Arabidopsis thaliana: one gene and its partners. The protein of the gene in region 4 purifies or fractionates together with the protein of the main gene of each other region. This does not show direct contact. Each region holds a gene or a part of one and is shown on either strand. Other genes may lie near its edges. The genes, in order: AT5G38890, RRP41L, AT2G07110 and RRP45a.

Region 1 (4,396 bases), on a different chromosome or scaffold from region 4:
CTGGAAGTGAACAAATTCCATTTCCTTCGTATGCAGGGAAGGAGTTACGTATTCTTTCAATCATGCGTGATGCAAGCAAATCACATACTATCCTGATATTTCGTTCTCGGGTTGTTTCCATGAGAATGACATCATCTGCAGACTTAGTTCCTTTGACAGTGGAATAAACAGCTTCCCTCTCACTGTTAGCACTGAGGCTGCTTAACACTTCATTCGATGAATTGACAGACCGTTGTGCATCATTTGCTTGATTAACATAGACTTGTAGCCTTTTGTGATACTCTGCAAATATTCTTGTTGCTTCATCACATTGTTGATCATACGCTTCCAACAATGCTTGCTTGTGTCTGAAAAAAGGAAAAATAAAACTCACTAAACAATTTGAAAGATCTACTGAACATAACTACAACAAATATTTTGATTTGTTGTATGAACAGAATCAATGCATTTCAACATAGATAAATGCTGTTGATTGAGGTTCATGAAGAGGGCAAAAAGACAATCAATATCGCCATACAAAAGTGAGAATCTTAAGAATGGGCGATGTGGCATATCCATGAAACCAGAGAAACAAAATAGCCTGACTAAATCCCATATATTCCATTCTAGGGTATATTAAAATCATTGGAGAATCAACAAAACGAAAGAAGAATACTTCAGGGCTATATATCTATGGCTCCTGAAATCATAGAGAAACGAAATCGAAATACCACCAAAACTCTAAGCAGCTAACCATACTACACATAGCAACCATACTTGTAATGGTTCTGTTGAGGACTTAACACTAACGATAATAAAGCATAACAACAACAAGAGAAAATATTAAATGAACCTGAGCTGAGTGGTGCAGGTTATTTCTATTGTATTATTTTACAAGTGAGAAGCAATGTATCCAAATACAGTATTCAAAATTGAAAGATTCAAAACAAACCTGTAATTTGCTCTTTCATCAAGCATCCTCTTCCGCTCTGCTTCTTCTCTAGAGACCTCCAACATTCTAGCTTTCAAATCTTTTCTTTGCCTCCTCACTATGTTCCTCAATCTCTCCACTTCCTTTGCAGCTAATTCCCTTTCCTGCAATGCAGCTTCTCTATCCTCCGCATAACTCGAACTCTCACCAGTCACTGTCTTATCCTTCCGCCTTCCTTTACTCTTACTCTCCTCCTTCCCAGGATTTACCGAACTCCCAATGCTAGCATTACTACTTCCCCCATGAACCGTAATATTCCGCCTAATTCTCTCCACTGTCTTCTCCGATTTCACTCGGTTTATCAAAAAATTCCATATAGGTATCATATTCCCTCTACAAATCTTCCTTATAGCATCAATAGAAGGAACATGAGATTTGCTCGATCCATTATACGGACCTAATTGCCTGTACCCCATTTCCTTCTGTAACCATTCTAATATCGCCTCCGGTGTCGGAGCCGAGCTCGATAAACTCTGCATTCTCTCTACAACTACAATACCTAACTCAATCCCTCAAATCTTCATGAAACTTCCGAAATTTCTACTCATACTTTGCGCCTTTTCTTCAAATCCAAACAATCAACGTAGAGAAATACCTAGGTTACTCAAATCGAGCGAAAACAGGAGTTCATAGACGCTATAAACCTAATACAATTCGCGAAATGCAGCAACAATCGAGCGAATTGGTACTCTGATGAACACAGAGACAGAAGGAAGACGTAGACAAACAGATCTGGAATCCCGACGACTAACTCGCCGGTTCCGGTGACGGTAGATGGAAGATTGTGACGGAGAGATGGATCTGGATAAAGAGATTTCAAATCGAGGTCCCGCTTGTTTATTGGATTTTCAATTAAAGGAATCAAACTCGAATTTTTCTGCAAGTGTCGTCGACTGTTGAAAGTTGAAACTGGGTAATAACCGCGTCGGACTCGGGTATGAGATGTATCCGGGTCGGACTAAGGTATTTAAGTCTAACCGGGTCGAATTGGGTAATAAGAAAACACTATGGGTCAAAATTAGAATAGTTTAAAATTACAACCAGAACATTTAGGGTCAAAGTTGAATTTATATAACACTAAAGGGATGGATTCCGAATTGTTTTAATTTTCTCAATCTAAAACCCAGAGGTTCCTTCCTAGGGTTTTGTTTGATACTCTCAAATCGGAAAATTTTGAAACAATGACGACGGGGCTAGTAACGCCGGGAGATGTAATCGGGAAAGCGACAGAGTTTAAAGCTGGAAAAGGAGCTTACGTCAACGACGCCACCATCTACGCTTCCCTCACAGGAACTTGCCGGATTGTTTCTCCTCTTCCCGAATCAATTGATCAGGTTTCGTCTTTGTTCCAAGTGATTAATTCTTCTGGCACATCTATTCGTAATCGAAATCGAAATCGTTGGATTGTTATACTTGTTTTTGTGATTGTTATGGATATATAACTTATTGGATGATAAAAATGGTAAGCAGAGAGCTATTGTGGAAGTTACAGGTCACAAGGCACATGGTCCTATTCCAGAGACTGGTTCTGTTGTCATAGCAAGAGTGAGTCCTGCACTTATTTCATTGGATTCATTGATGTTCATACTTGGAAAAAAAGAGAGTAATTTCATCACTCACTATTCTCTGTTATTCGTGATAGGTGACTAAAGTTATGACTAAGATGGCTGCTGTTGATATCTTGTGTGTTGGTTCAAAAGCCGTTCGTGAAAATTTTGCTGGTGTAATTAGGTGAATTTCTCATCCTCCTTTGGTGTTTATTTTCAAGGTTTGTTCTTTTATGTGTCGATCTAACTTGTGTTTGCTCTTTCATAGGCAACAAGATGTTAGAGCAACAGAGATTGACAAAGTTGACATGCATCAGTCTTTCCATGCTGGTGACATTGTTAGAGCTATGGTTGTATCCTTGCGCTTATGTTTCACACTTATTGTCTAGTAGTACAGTGGTTAACATTGTTTATTAGAGGAGAGACAATTCTAAGATTTGTTACATTATGCCATTTATTTTCTCTTTTTACTTACATATCTCTTTGTATAGTTTAATTTGAATGTAGCGTAGGTGTAGTCTATAATAATAGATGATGTTTTGGGTGATAATATCTGAAGTTGCCTTAACTTGGACTCTTAAAGCTGTCTCTTGGTGATGCACGGGCTTACTACTTGTCAACTGCTAAGAATGAACTTGGTGTGGTCTCAGCTGAAAGTGCTGCGGGTAATTTTTTTCCTACTCTTAGAAACTAAATAAAGGGTAATGAGGGCAAAGATTACTAATTATATAGCTAATCTATCACATATCAAATTGTAATACATTTCTAACTTGTAGTTCTCATTATGGAATTATGAGTAACAAATATTTTCGTCCTGGACTTGGAGTATGTTAATGTGTAGATGCATTTGCTTCTTTGGGCAGTTTATAATACTATACGAAGTTAATTTCCGTTTGAGTAATCGAAATGTTTATGTGGTCTGGTGATTGTGCAGGCGAAACAATGGTTCCGATAAGTTGGACAGAGATGCAGTGCCCCTTGTCGGGCCAAACCGAGCAGAGAAAAGTTGCCAAGGTGGGTAATTGAATTCAAGACAACACTTGGCTTCTCTCACATAATGAGGTGTGGTCTCTGCAGCAAGACAGACATTTGAGATTATTACAATTTTGAGCTCTTCTGTTGTTTGTTATCAAGTGTAGAGATAACTTTAGACCAACTTGACCTTTATTCGACAATAGTCAGGATACTATTATTATTAGGATACTTACAACTTCTTAAACTCGAAAGACATTTTGTTGTTAGAATTTGAACATAAATCCATAACTCCAACAATGTGGAAATGCTAGGCTTAGCTCGGAACAACTTAAAAATTCATTCGATTGTCGCAATTTCTTGGTGAGTTGGTAGTATAAAAACTTAGCAGAAAATCAAGAAACAAACTTCCTAAGAGATGTAAATCTGTATGCCCTTGGTGCTGCCGAGAAAAGAAATGGTTTTTGTATACAAAAATGTATGGGTCACAATTAGAATAAGTTTAAGCTTTATAATCGAAACGTTTGGGGTCATAACTAAATATATGTAAAATTAAAGGGACTATTTACGAAACTTTCTGTTTTTCCCTGGTTAAATTTCGACCAAAAAGGCTTATGGATCAAAAGGTAGAAGAAGACAAAGACGAGAGAGAAAGGATCGCTATTATTCAGGAAACTTCATTTTGCACTTTTTCGACGAACCTGAAAAATCTTCAATTTTAGAATTAGTCAATACCGGAAAATTCCTGGGTTTTCTCTTGCTTCTGGATTTTCTCAGGTCTCTATCACAAAGGTACTCATCGATTCCTCTGTTTTTTGTTTTCCTTTGAAAGTTTCTTTGATGATCATTGGATTTTGATACCATTCATTACTGATCATCTGATGTTGATCGATGAGCTTATGATGGT
Region 2 (5,075 bases), on a different chromosome or scaffold from region 4:
ACTTTTATATGCAGAGTGGTCACGGGCATTGCGGTTACTGAAATGATAAAGTTCATAAAATGTTAGATAGAAATTAATCAGTAGAACAATCTAGCTGAAATGTTAGATACAAGCATTTACGAAATAAATAAAAATTTACAGAAAACTGAATAATTCGTAAAAAATGTTATTATATTTTTCATAAACTTTTTATACATTGGAGTTTTTTTTTTCTAATGTCTTCTATCATTCATGTTCCCGCAAATTATCGTGTGTTTGTAATTGTCATTTCAAGAATGCTGAAAGGTCTTAGAATTTACTAGTTACTCTATTAGTTCATGTATCAATCTTAACAAGAAGACAAGAAAAAACAAAAAAAAATCAAAGAGAAAATTGGGAGAAACTAGAAGAAGAAATAAAAAGACAAAAATGGGGAAGAGGTGGGAGATAGAAAGAAACAGTTGTTAGGTGGTGTTGAAAACGTGTGAAGTCTTCTTTGGCTATAAGGGCACAACTGTCCACTTTGCTGCGACACACGTCTTCTCTTCTCTCTCTGACCAAAATAATCACATGTCATGCGGATTAGATTCTTCTTCTTCGTATCGTACGTACTACATGATCAGTTGAAGTTCCGACGTTAGCTGATATTACCTAAACACCCTCCTTCATCACCGCCCCCAACTTGTGTGATGTGTGAACCAGAGAAGACTTTTTCTTTTTTAAGATGCAAAAATCAGTTACTCTTTTCTTCATTTTTCTGTATACTATTCTTAATATCATTCCATTTTCGTATAAATTTAGAAAATCTGATATTAATATCATCCACAAGTTTTTTGAAATTGTAAAGAACAATGTGATTGATTTGTTGAAATTCCCTACTTTAAATTCTGTATGTCTTTGATACCACTCGCAATTGGGATCCATTTCATAGCTAAAGATCTAGTTCCATCAAATCTTATGTGAAAACATACATCGGTTTAAACTACACACAGGTTTAGACTAAATCCGTTTACCTATAACAGCTAAAACCGGTTTCATACCAAGTCTGAGCTACAATCCAAAATCATAGTTATTTATGCTCATTCATCGGAAGCTGAGGCAGACTGTTTCAGACAATCACGCATGATCTCTCCAAGTTTTGAACTAGCATCCAAGCAAAGCTGCATTGCCTGCAATATTTGAAATACAAATGTTTGGTAACATGTCTGCACAGCTCCTATGTCACAATTATATGTTAACAACATAGACCCTATGGTATGAACAGCTTAAAAAGAAAATGAAGAACAGTCTAATTAACCAATATCCATGTGATTTAGACAAACAAAGCAGTTGAATAACATCAATATTCAACACTAAGAAAAGAAAGACCTTTTGTCTCTAACCGTCATCGGCAAATTAAGGACAAGAGATATTATTGAAAGGCATACCTCGTTGATATTAGGTGTTGTCCATTCACCAGTGATGGTTAGCTGAGTGATTTCATAACGAGATGGCATGCACGTCATCATAAAGCTGCCATCTTCACATCCTTCCTCCTCTGTAACCGGGTCTATCATAAGGCTTTTGCCTATGCAAGACTTCGAAAATTGCAGGCATAATTTCAGTGTATCAAAATAAAGAATTAACAGATATCTATACGTTTTACATGTCTCAGACTATGGTGCACTTGTATATGTCAATGTATGTGTTACTTTCTTCTTCACTTAATGCTAATAAACATAAGAGATAACGCAGAGGAATCAATGCAACTATTGTAACATACACATACCACTGAAACAGCTGTGATAAGGTCATACATCATAATTCCGGCATCAGCTAAAGCAAGACTAGCACATGATATCAAAACAGAGAGGTCACCTGCAATACAATACCATTGGAGAAAATCAGAAAATGCCAAACAACAATCCAATAAGTTGCTTCCATAATCAACTCCACGAATGTCCAAGCGAACCAATAAGCAATCACATTCTGGTAAAATAATTTTGATAGCAGTCGAGTTATTGTTAAGACTTACTTCCTCCAGATTCAAGAACCAATGCAAAAACATCAACGGTTGTTTTTGGAAACGTCTCCATCATTATTACACCTTCCAATGCTTTGTGAAGCATTGATGAATATTCTTTGTGATCAGTTCCCTAAAATACCACAATGTATTACTAAATTTGATGAAACAAGTTAACACCAAATGTTGCGAAATTTGGAGATTACCTGGCCAAGAGTAGGGGAAGCAAAATTTGTATAGCTAACATTACAATTCAATCTACCTACATCACTATAAACCATTGCTTTCTTACTCTCCCTTGGCCCAAATCTAAAATTTTTGAACACACAAAAGCGAATTTAGCTGACAGAAAAGTTAATGCAAATCCTGAATATACAAGTTTTCTAATCTAATAATACTCACACTGAAACAATAACTTTAGTGTTCCCAAACTCAGCATAAGCAGAACCAGAAGCAGAACTCACAGCACCAGTTTGAAGTACTGAAAGAAGCATTTTTCACAAAAGAAACAAAATTCAAATCTAGTTTAGTCTCACAAATAACTGGAGTCATATGAATCCAACCGTAATTTCACAATGAAGAACCCTAACGATTAAGAATTTAGAGGAATCAAAGGTGTTTTTACATGCGGGTCGGCATTGGTGGAAGCCACGGCCATCAGGACGAGACCAATCGAGGTCGGAATCTTTGAATATAGGAAGCCGACTTCTTCCGACGATTTTAGGTGAATACGTTGGAGTTGCGGCTCCAGGTTTAGCTGCCATTGTTCTGAGCTGAGACTAAACAAAATCGAATCTGATTACTGAGAAAGAGTTGAGAAATCAATGGGTCAATCTCAGAGCTACGATGCGAAAGAAGCAACAGTTGGTCTAATAAGAAGAATCGTTACCCTGAGGGTTTGAGAGACAGAGAACGCGGCGGAGAGAGTGGAAGAACGATAAACGCCGTTAAAAGATTTTTAGGGTTTAGCAAAAAATAATTAAAAAAAAGGGGGAAATTGTATATTTAAGTAACTAAAGTAATAAACATTTTTATTTACGTAGTTTCAATTTACTAGAAGATTTTACTTTTGTAATCATTTTAAAATATTTGGTATAAATCTTAACATTAAAAAGAAAAGTGTAGTAATCAAATAAAAATAGAGTTGTTGATATCAAATAAAAATACTATAGCTAATAGCTCTAAATGTTTGACAATTAATGGAATTTAGGTGAATGGGATATAGAAAAATATATTTTCCACTAAATACTTCTTTACATATTCATACCATTAATAATAAATCCAATACCATTAAGGAAAACATATTTACATATATTAACTAATAATACAAATTAAGTATAACCCAAAGATTGAAATGAGGACACATAACCATTAAGCTAAATCATCATAATGCCACCTCTTAAAAACATTATTATGGGTTTCATTATGCCTCGATCATACGATGTTTGGCATTTTCCGCATTACTAGGCCACTTTCCTCCATTTTCATTTTATTCGAAATGCAATCATCAACGTCGTCGGTCCATATCACACGTTTTGTCCACACCAGTATACAGTAGTAACATCCTCCAATAATGAATAAGAAGTACTCCTATGTTTTTTTAGCCTGTATATTGAAATTAATGCAATTTAATACGCCAGTACCTCACAACAAATCAAAAATCAAAGGACTCAGATAAAAAGTCAAAGGAGAAGGCACCGTTTCTTTCTGGGAAGTGAGTTAAAACGAAAACATCTCTGTGGAAAAACCGAAGCCCAGTGGCTAGTACCATAACTCTCAGATTTCTTTCTTTCTTTCATTATCTAGTTTCTATAGAAAAGAAAGAAAAAAAAAAAAAGGTACGTAATCCGACACTTTAATTAAACAAATCTTCGTTTCAGACAAAGACAACCTCGTGGATTGTGTTAAGAACTGCCCGGATCTTTAAACATTCTCACGTCATCTCCATGAAATTTTAAGAACCAGGTATTTTTTTTACGTTATTTGATTTCTTACGAATAGGAACATGTAAAGTAGGTTTCATTATCCTTAGACAGCTCTAGATTTTTCTTTTCGATCTTTTTTATTATTACAAGATCGGCTCATACTCATACTTTGTGATCACGACGATTCATCAAATCCTCTGTTTTTCTTCCTCTTCAATTTTTCGACTTGTATCAATTTTTTATTTTACTCTTTGCATGATCGGAATCAAGGATCAGAAACTGTGTTTGATCGTTGTTTGAATTCAATATTCATCAATACATGTATAGATTTCTGATTGTGTGTCAACTGTGGCGTAGGTTAGGCGCTACCTCGATTTGTGAAGATCTTTCTTCTCTGATGCGTCGACAATATCAAAGTGTTGGCTTCTTTCGTTGACATAACATTGGTTTTTGAGATCGATCACATATGAGAAGGCTCTTTAATGGCGTCCTCAAACTCAGAGAAGAGATGGATATTCCCTCTAGCAATGGCTTCTCTCATGTTCATATTCCTTATAGCTGCATCCTTCAACATGGGTCTCCTCTCTTCTGTCCGTTCTATTAACTCACTCATCTTCTCCTACAATCTATCGACCACCAACGAGACACGAGTCGAATTTGCAGAGTCAAAGATCAATCAGTCCTCGCATCCTCCTCCAGTACAGCCTAGTCTTCCTCGCTTTGGTTATCTAGTTTCAGGGTCAAGAGGTGACTTAGAGAGTCTGTGGAGAGTGTTACGAACATTATACCATCCTAGGAATCAGTACGTTGTTCATCTTGATCTCGAGTCTCCTGCTGAAGAGAGGCTTGAGCTGGCTAAACGTGTGAGCCAAGATCCTGTTTTTAGCGATGTTGGAAATGTTCACATGATCACAAAGGCTAACCTTGTTACGTATCGAGGACCCACAATGGTGGCTAACACGCTCCACGCTTGCGCTATTCTCTTGAAGCAGAGTAAAGAATGGGATTGGTTCATCAATCTCAGTGCCTCGGATTATCCTCTAGTCACTCAAGATGGTAATATAGTTATGTATCTAGTCTCTCTTTCTTCGTTTCAAATAATCTCTGCCCGGATTATCAATGCCCCTTGCTTGCAGATCTGATTGATACATTCTCGGGACTGGACCGGA
Region 3 (3,200 bases), on a different chromosome or scaffold from region 4:
GGTGGAGCTACCAACTAAGATTTAAAATTTTATAGTTTAAGGAATTGTGTTGGTCTTTTAACTTTTTGTTCGTCCAATGGTAGGTCTTTAAGCGGGTTTCTTAAAAAACAAAAAAACTATTATTAAATTAAAAATTACACATATTTTCTTTCATAAAATTTAATAATTAATCTAAATTTTTAAATTTTAAACATACATGATATAAATATTGAAAATCGGAATAACGATAGTTGTTAGCTTGATTTCCGCCAAATTTGTGCCGTAAAATTTAACTCTTAAATTAATTATGAAAAAGTAATAGTGAAATTATTAAGAAATGATTTCTTAAAGTTTGAGTTTTTCATTTAAAAATTTTAAATAATTCTCATTTCTAAAATCATTAGTTTAACTATTTTAATTAACAGTTAATATTTAAAACTAATTTAATTTTTAAACTAATCTTGAAGAAAAAAATAAAATCCAAACATGATACACATATTCCTTGCCTAAAAATTAGATGATTATTATGAAAAAACTAAATAAATATGCAAATTAAATATATCTAAGCTATTCGAGATTTATGCTAAGAAAACAAGTAATTTGAAAGACTGTTTTGTATGACTGTTTTGTATTTTTTTTTTTATTCTGCTAGATCGTTCAATATGAAAGAAGAAGAATCTCAAGGTAAATTTCTCGACTTCGTAAATTCTATCCTTCATAGTCTCCCTTTTTGTACATCATATTTCTTTAGAACAAACGTTTAATACCTTCTAACTGCCAGAATGGAGGCCACGGTAGAAGTTACACAAAAACATATTCACACTCTCAGTTTATGGGATTACAAACTTTCACTACTATAAACTCTATAAATACTCAAACAGACATTGTTTATACCGGATTATATGTGTTTCAGACAGCATTAGTAAATGTTTACCAAGGTGAAAGGAACATAAAAACGATACAGAACCACCATCATGTACAACCTACACAGAAATTACAAAATGAAAACATCAGATACAACTCAAGTTGACAATATATATATACACAACATTGAATAGTTACTCACCTGAATAATCACTGAGGTGGTGGTATTTGGAACAACTCTCAAAACACAAATACTCTGTAGCGTCCTTTTCAGTATCGTTTCATACTCTTTTTCAACTTTTCCTATCAATATTCAAAGCAAAAGAAATTCACATCTAAAAACCAAGAATCACCTGTACTACATACTCAAGCGACAAAACAAGCCTCTTTCTGAAAAACTAAACGCATTTACGATTACCAATCTATCCGGTTTAAGGCTTCCATATGACTTCAAACAAGCCTTCTCAGCATTTTCGTTCTTCTTCGTTCTTGCTTTAGGTCCGTATTGCGCAGATAGAACTTTTGTATCCTCTGAAAATATAAACGAGAGAGTTCCATGTATCCCATTCAAAAAGGATAAAAACAACTTTGTACCCATAATAGATATTGAGAAAGCTGATAAAGTACCTTCTGACCAACTAGGAGAGCCATGAGGACGATGAAGGATATTACGCGAATAAGCAAGAGGTTTCAGCTGACAAGTAAGTCTTTCACGAGTTATATTTCAAGTAAAAAAAAAAGATATAATCTTAAAAATTGTAACTACATAAGATAGTTTTAGTTTTATTAATTAACTACATAATAACGAATAAAAAATAAACATAAATTAGCAAAAACAATCAATAATTGTTTTTCACAATTTTCAAAACAAACTCACGCTTCACAATTTTCAAAACAAACCCACGCTACACGTGGGTATTTATCTAGTATAATATAAAAGACATGAAAAAAGAATCACATTTCAAAGACTGTTTGTACTCGAAAAATCGAAATTCTAAACTTGCAGTGATCTGAATTCCAAAGGAACCGAGGTCAAACTTGGAAGATGGACACATTGAGAAAACCCAAGAGAGACAGAATCTATTTGAATCTTCTTGCAGAAGTCTCCCCTCGCAATAAAGATGCAACCCACTCCAGTTTGATTGTCGTCACAGCACAGGATAAGGGTCATGTCATGGATGAAGTAACTAATATCAGAAAGCTGATGGAATAGCGAGGGAAAATCAGGTATTGACAGTGTCATCAAGTTTAACCACACCACATTATTACTAGAGTTAATCATGTCATTTGTTACCCAAATCTCTGTATTACTTGATATACGAGATTGCTTTAACAATGCAAACTGATCGCCCTTAAATACAGTGAGGACAAGTTTATCTCGTAAGCCAGAAACATGCTTCCCACAAGGAAGGAGACAAAAGTGCATGGATATTTCTGTGGAGAAATCAAAGCTTCCGAGAAAATGCTCACGAGTATCTTCATTGTAAGCAGTCCAATACAAATTTCCATTCAAGGACACATATTCACCTCGACCTGCCAGCATTGGCCATTCCGGGGAATCAATGAACTTAAACGCTTGAGACGCACATTCAAAGATCGCAAATCTGTGGCCGATTTTCAGTGTAGTGTCATAGAAACGACTAAAATACCCAAAGATCTTGTAATCCTTTTCGGGTTTACAAGCATCGTATCCTACACCGCAAAAACGGAAATCTCTGTCCTCCTTATACTCGATCCACCCAACCTGTCTTAACCATGGATTCCAAATGGTAACCCCTTGGTTCCAAAAGTCACGAAACAATAATCCATCGCAAGCCGTGATCCTGGTAAATGCCCACTTCTCAGCCTTAAAATGAAATTGACAGGCTAGCTCACGCACCTCTATCTTCGGATCAAAGTCGTCCAGGCCGATGGTTCCTATCGAATAAATCTTGGATTCGGGCAGGATGATAAATTGGGGACGTGCACAACCCAAGCTTTTCTTGATGAACCATTTGTCGTTGAGAAGATCGTTCAGTGTTTACATACGGATCTTACCCGAACAAGGGATCCAGGTGGAAGCCGACACAGTATCTCTTCCTCCAACTCCCACGGAAGCTTCCCCGACGCCATTACCTTTCTCCGACTTCGGTGGCTTTAGAGGAGAATCTATATATATACCACCGCGTGTACGACTCAAATAAATAAGAAAAGGAATATTTTTATCTGTTACGAAAATGAAATAACACCCTTTTTTGGGGATAATATTAAATAATTCTTAAAAGTAAATGTCAAATAATTCTTAATAATTATTTAGGAAAGAGATTTATCTTCCAATAATAAAATTACTGAATAATTATTTCTCAAGGATAAGAAGT
Region 4 (4,414 bases):
AGCTTCTTCTGTGAGGCTCTTCTTTTCTCCTCTTTCAGAGTCAGTTAAACAATTTGCTCTGTTTGCTGATGCAGGCTTTGCTTCTTGCCATCCACAAGATGAAAGTATCAGAAGAACAGCGCAGGGCAAGCATTGATACACATGAACCTCTTCTCGGCTTTGCTCTAAGCTGTGGAATGTACTCTTCACCTGCGGTAACTTAACTAAGTAACAATCTGCGTTTCCAAAAGTCATAAACAGTCATTTTCTTAACACGAAGAGGTCTTGCAGGTGAGGATCTACTCTGCGAAAGGAGTGAAGGAAGAGATGCTAGAAGCACAAAGGGACTTCATACAAGCATCGGTAGGGCTGAGCAGCAAAGGGAAGCTCTTACTACCCAAAATGCTCCATTGTTATGCCAAGAGTTTGGTGGAGGATTCGAACTTGGGGGTCTGGATATCAAGGTACCTTCCTCCACATCAAGCTGCTTTTGTGGAGCAATGCATCTCTCAGAGAAGACAAAGCCTTCTCGCTTCACGGAACTGCGGAATACTCCCCTTCGATTCTCGTTTCAGATACCTGTTTCTCCCCGACGACAACACCTCGTTGTAATAACAGTTCAAAGACTCTCTTCTGTTGTAAAAAAAGCTTTAACCGACCTCATAAGAACGAACAGTGAGAGGAGGCTGTTTCATGATCATGGTTACTACTATTATTCCAACATAGCTTTTGGCTTATAGTGTACATGTTATTCAGGATATGCATATTAATTCTGAGAAGTCTCAATATGTTGTGTTTCAACTTTCTTTCAGAAAGACATAAATGGAAGAGTTGAGACTAGTCATCTATTTAAGTGCGAGAAGTCTCAACATGTCTTGATCATATCGACGTTTTTATAGCTTAGTGTTGCTGATAAGATTTCTACAACTAAAATCTTTATTTACAATCGACGACCACAGCAAATGTTTTATTTATGTCTCTTCCTACACAACTACAATAGGTCCCAAAACTTCAGACTTAGCCAAAGTATGATGCCGCTTCACCTTCTGTGAGCTCCTCTCACGGTTGTATGCTTCAACCTACACCATGAAAACAAAGCACAACAAAATCAAATCCTTAAATCAATAGAAATCAATCTAAAAAGGAAAACGCTCCGGATTACGAAACCCTACTGCATCTCTAATTATCTTTGTTGTTGCAGAAGCTCTTGAAGAAGCAAGACGCAGGCAATGAAGGATTACACTCTGGTTCACGCCTTCTTCTCCTGGTTTTTGGATTGCGCATATATCGCCATTGGCATTGACTGTCACAGTCATTCTCCCACACATAACAGCTTCTTCAACGTAAGTTGGGTCCATCACCTGCATAAGAACACAACACACTTGTAATCTCAGATGCAAACAAAAACGTAGTAAACAAGATTATCAATAAACAAAACACAATTTTTTTACCAAGATACTGCCTTTATTAAAAAATCCAAACGTGAAGGCTATTGGGAGATGATGTATTATCAAAGGAAGTGGTTCCCTTTCCTGTAAAAGAAACCAAATATAGTACAAAACAGTTGAAGTTGAGAACTTCCTTCTCTCTAGTTATTAAGTTCATCAACTAAACTGAAAAAAAAAAAATATGAATTACTAACTTCGGGTGGATGTATGATCACGTCTTGACTGTTGTCCCCTCCTACAGTGCAATCAGGTCTCCTGAAAGTCATGAGTGCGGCTAAGGCAGCAACATTAGCAGCATCAACCAAGTTCCTGTAAGAGAGTGAGTAACAATATACACATAAAAGATCATTCTCACAACAAGAACCTTGGATAAACATGAAGAAGACCTACCCTCCATTGTCCAAAATGTGAAGATCAATGCGAACAGACCAAACCAGCTTTCCGGCTAGAACACAAAGCGACTCTGTATCTACTGCACGGCTTTCTCTGCAACCAACAACACAAAGACCATCAATACAAAAAACTTTGTTTGTAGCATCAAATCAAAAAGAGAGGTTTACCGTAGAGCACGGTCTATAATACGGCCAAGCTCAACAGCAGATTCACCAGGATGCCCTGGCTCAAACGATGGATCAGCCATTGGAGAAAACTCGGTGAAGATAGAGAAGGAGCCTTCACTAGGTCTGTCTTTGTAAGGTTGTACTAGCTGAGCAGTCACAAAAGCCATTACATGAGTCTGACCCAGTTGAACTTGTGAGCTGCCATATTCCCTATCGAAAACTCACACAGATTAAATTAATCATCAGTAACAACATTGCAAAACCAGAGATCAAAAGCATCAACAAAAATTGAAGCTTTAAAGGTAAACATAATCAATGAATAGGAGAAAAACTCACTTGCCAAACTTAATAGTAAGCTTGCGGTAATCATAAAGGCCACGACCATCGACTCTGAGCTCAGATTGCAACGCAGATTCAACGAATTTGCTCTCATTCACAGTCAACCTCCACATATTATTCAACCTCCCCTCCATTGTTTGCTAGTGAGCTACTACCACAAATTGATGATTGAGAAACAAAACAAGATACAAAAAATCAAAACTTTCAGAATATAAAAAAGCCTAGAGAATCAACATAAGCAGCTTTCCCCAGAGGGAGATTAAACCACTAACCTTCTTCCGTTCAGCTAGGGTTTTGTGGCGCGAGGATTTTGTGAACAGAGAAGAGGAGGGATTTATTTCAATTTAACCCCTCGTCTTTTCAGTATTTGTCTTATGGACCAATTTTCATTTATCTCTTTTTTTTTCCTTTTAATAATATTTGTTTGATGGAGGGACCGTGTCTAGTCCTTCTCTTATCAAACGACTGACCAGCTCTTATCATTGGCCCCGTTACCCTAACGGTCACAAGGGTTTTCGTCTGTTTGATACACCCAGTCTTGTCTATCTTGACTATTCTGGTTATCCCGCAGAAGATTATGAGGTTGATTTGGGTTCCCTTGTAGAAGCTACACTCATGGGAGCGTCTTCCAGATGACTATTAATTATTATGTGGATGGTGATACAGAGGATATTGTTGGTTATGTTACGAATCTGGTTGCAGGGATAAGCAATGTTAAAACCCTTCACTTGTCCGCTGTTTCTCTTGAGGTCAGTCTCTGCTACGTCTTCTTCTTCTATTGGTTGATTCTATTTGAAGTGCATGCTAGCTAGCAAAGTCTCATTTTGTGTATATGTTTGTTTTGGTTGTGACAATAGATCCCAGGTATTTTACTCGTGCTGTAAATCAATCCCGGTGTTTCCCAACCTCGTTACTTTATCTTTTGAGTGTAACAAAGAAAGAGGCTGGTAAGTGGAGCCACTTCTCCTTAACTACTCTCCAAATCTAGAAACTTAAGTCATCAAGGTATCATCTATTTCGTTCGATCACCACGCACTTCTGTTTCTTTGCTAAAGTTATTATTCCCATGAATTTGCTTATGCCTTGTTCTTTTTGCTTTCACGGTCTTGTGCATGAAGTTACAGACAAACGTGGTGACGCCTGCGTTTGCACCCCTAAGAGGGATAAGAGGAAGAGCTGAAACGAATGAGGCATTTCTTGGCAAATTTAAAACGTCTTGAAACTGTCAATGTTAATGTCGAATTGAGTGAAGGCAAGGATGTTAAGAAAAGGTTCCTGACGATCACCAATGCTCTTATGAAGCTTCCCAGAGTTTCATCAAACTGTCTGATCCATTTCACCATGGAATGTCTAGTAGGTGAATTCTACTACTTTAGTTTGGCAGTGTATTTTTTGTTAATTTCATTGGCTTTCGCCGTACTAAGATCATTTCTATATACATTATAATGGGTTCGTTGCCTAATGACTCCAAAATGCTTCGGGGTCTTGGTTTCGTTCAACTGGATAAACTCTAGTATTCTAGTTGAATATAAAGTAAAAACTTGCATTTCCAGTCTAGTATATGTAATGATTGAAAATCAAGAATTTATTAGCTTATAGCTTTGCCAAAAATACCACATATACAATACGAAGGAATCAAAGAGTAAGTAAATTAAGATCAAATTCAGTAGTCGAATTCAATAGGATTCAATGAACAGAATCACCAAAAATTGAATCAAAATCACAATTCCCTTATACACATGTCTATACTTTAGAATACATGTAAGAAAAAATATCTATGTACCTCGTTGTGAACCTAAATTAGCAGTTGTGGAAGAGACCCATCTGCTCATTTTCCCATGAGCTCTCCTAAACTAGCTTCTTGAATCTCCAAATTAATCAGCCAAAAATATCTCATTCTTTCTTGATTCGCCTGCCATTTGGATCGTTACTTCAGGCACGAACCCTTGACCCCATAGACAGAGAATATAACATGTCTGTTAATCATTCAGGAGTGGAGGCCGTTGTATCAGCGGCTCTCTGCCGCACCATCTCCATCACCGCTGCTCTGCGTCTTGAATCTGCCTGTTGCTGCTTTCTACTAAAATG

Evidence for each region.
Region 1: the proteins of RRP45a (region 4) and AT5G38890 fractionate together in Arabidopsis thaliana (co-fractionation; one large-scale study listed by BioGRID). This does not show direct contact.
Region 2: the proteins of RRP45a (region 4) and RRP41L fractionate together in Arabidopsis thaliana (co-fractionation; one large-scale study listed by BioGRID). This does not show direct contact.
Region 3: the proteins of RRP45a (region 4) and AT2G07110 fractionate together in Arabidopsis thaliana (co-fractionation; one large-scale study listed by BioGRID). This does not show direct contact.

Annotation. Positions count from the first base shown.
Region 1 is NC_003076.8:15,567,356-15,571,751, forward strand, and holds AT5G38890 (Nucleic acid-binding, OB-fold-like protein), read left to right. Parts: upstream 1-2,062; 5' UTR 2,063-2,151; coding exon 2,152-2,304; intron 2,305-2,440; coding exon 2,441-2,515; intron 2,516-2,612; coding exon 2,613-2,701; intron 2,702-2,785; coding exon 2,786-2,870; intron 2,871-3,100; coding exon 3,101-3,182; intron 3,183-3,451; coding exon 3,452-3,543; 3' UTR 3,544-3,814; downstream 3,815-4,396. Other genes in the region: AUG5 (HAUS augmin-like complex subunit), read right to left, coding at 1-347, 932-1,449; AT5G38895 (RING/U-box superfamily protein), read left to right, coding at 3,920-3,949, 4,100-4,281.
Region 2 is NC_003075.7:13,737,631-13,742,705, reverse strand, and holds RRP41L (3'-5'-exoribonuclease family protein), read right to left. Parts: upstream 2,959-5,075; 5' UTR 2,871-2,958; exon of another isoform or gene 2,761-2,870; 5' UTR 2,746-2,760; coding exon 2,607-2,745; intron 2,535-2,606; exon of another isoform or gene 2,476-2,534; coding exon of another isoform or gene 2,463-2,475; coding exon 2,384-2,462; intron 2,291-2,383; coding exon 2,188-2,290; intron 2,115-2,187; coding exon 1,994-2,114; intron 1,837-1,993; coding exon 1,748-1,836; coding exon of another isoform or gene 1,679-1,747; exon of another isoform or gene 1,557-1,678; coding exon 1,407-1,556; intron 1,149-1,406; coding exon 1,059-1,148; 3' UTR 808-1,058; downstream 1-807. Other genes in the region: AT4G27480 (Core-2/I-branching beta-1,6-N-acetylglucosaminyltransferase family protein), read left to right, coding at 4,389-4,962, 5,043-5,075. UniProt on the Arabidopsis thaliana protein: Non-catalytic component of the RNA exosome complex which has 3'->5' exoribonuclease activity and participates in a multitude of cellular RNA processing, maturation and degradation events.
Region 3 is NC_003071.7:2,951,768-2,954,967, forward strand, and holds AT2G07110 (exosome complex exonuclease RRP46-like protein), read right to left. Parts: upstream 1,442-3,200; coding exon 1,210-1,441; intron 1,147-1,209; coding exon 1,046-1,146; intron 963-1,045; coding exon 843-962; downstream 1-842. Other genes in the region: AT2G07120 (F-box associated ubiquitination effector family protein), read right to left, coding at 1,838-2,824, 2,881-2,955.
Region 4 is NC_003074.8:4,154,391-4,158,804, reverse strand, and holds RRP45a (ribonuclease PH45A), read right to left. Parts: upstream 2,752-4,414; 5' UTR 2,599-2,751; exon of another isoform or gene 2,475-2,598; 5' UTR 2,461-2,474; coding exon 2,324-2,460; intron 2,198-2,323; coding exon 1,988-2,197; intron 1,914-1,987; coding exon 1,818-1,913; intron 1,737-1,817; coding exon 1,622-1,736; intron 1,512-1,621; coding exon 1,431-1,511; coding exon of another isoform or gene 1,404-1,430; exon of another isoform or gene 1,341-1,403; coding exon 1,152-1,340; coding exon of another isoform or gene 1,116-1,151; exon of another isoform or gene 1,059-1,115; coding exon 963-1,058; 3' UTR 841-962; downstream 1-840. Other genes in the region: AT3G13000 (ubiquinone biosynthesis protein (Protein of unknown function, DUF547)), read left to right, coding at 75-194, 271-591; HAC5 (histone acetyltransferase of the CBP family 5), read right to left, coding at 4,310-4,414. UniProt on the Arabidopsis thaliana protein: Probable 3'->5' exoribonuclease involved in the regulation of cuticular wax biosynthesis. Can perform exosomal functions and partially complement the yeast rrp45 null mutant.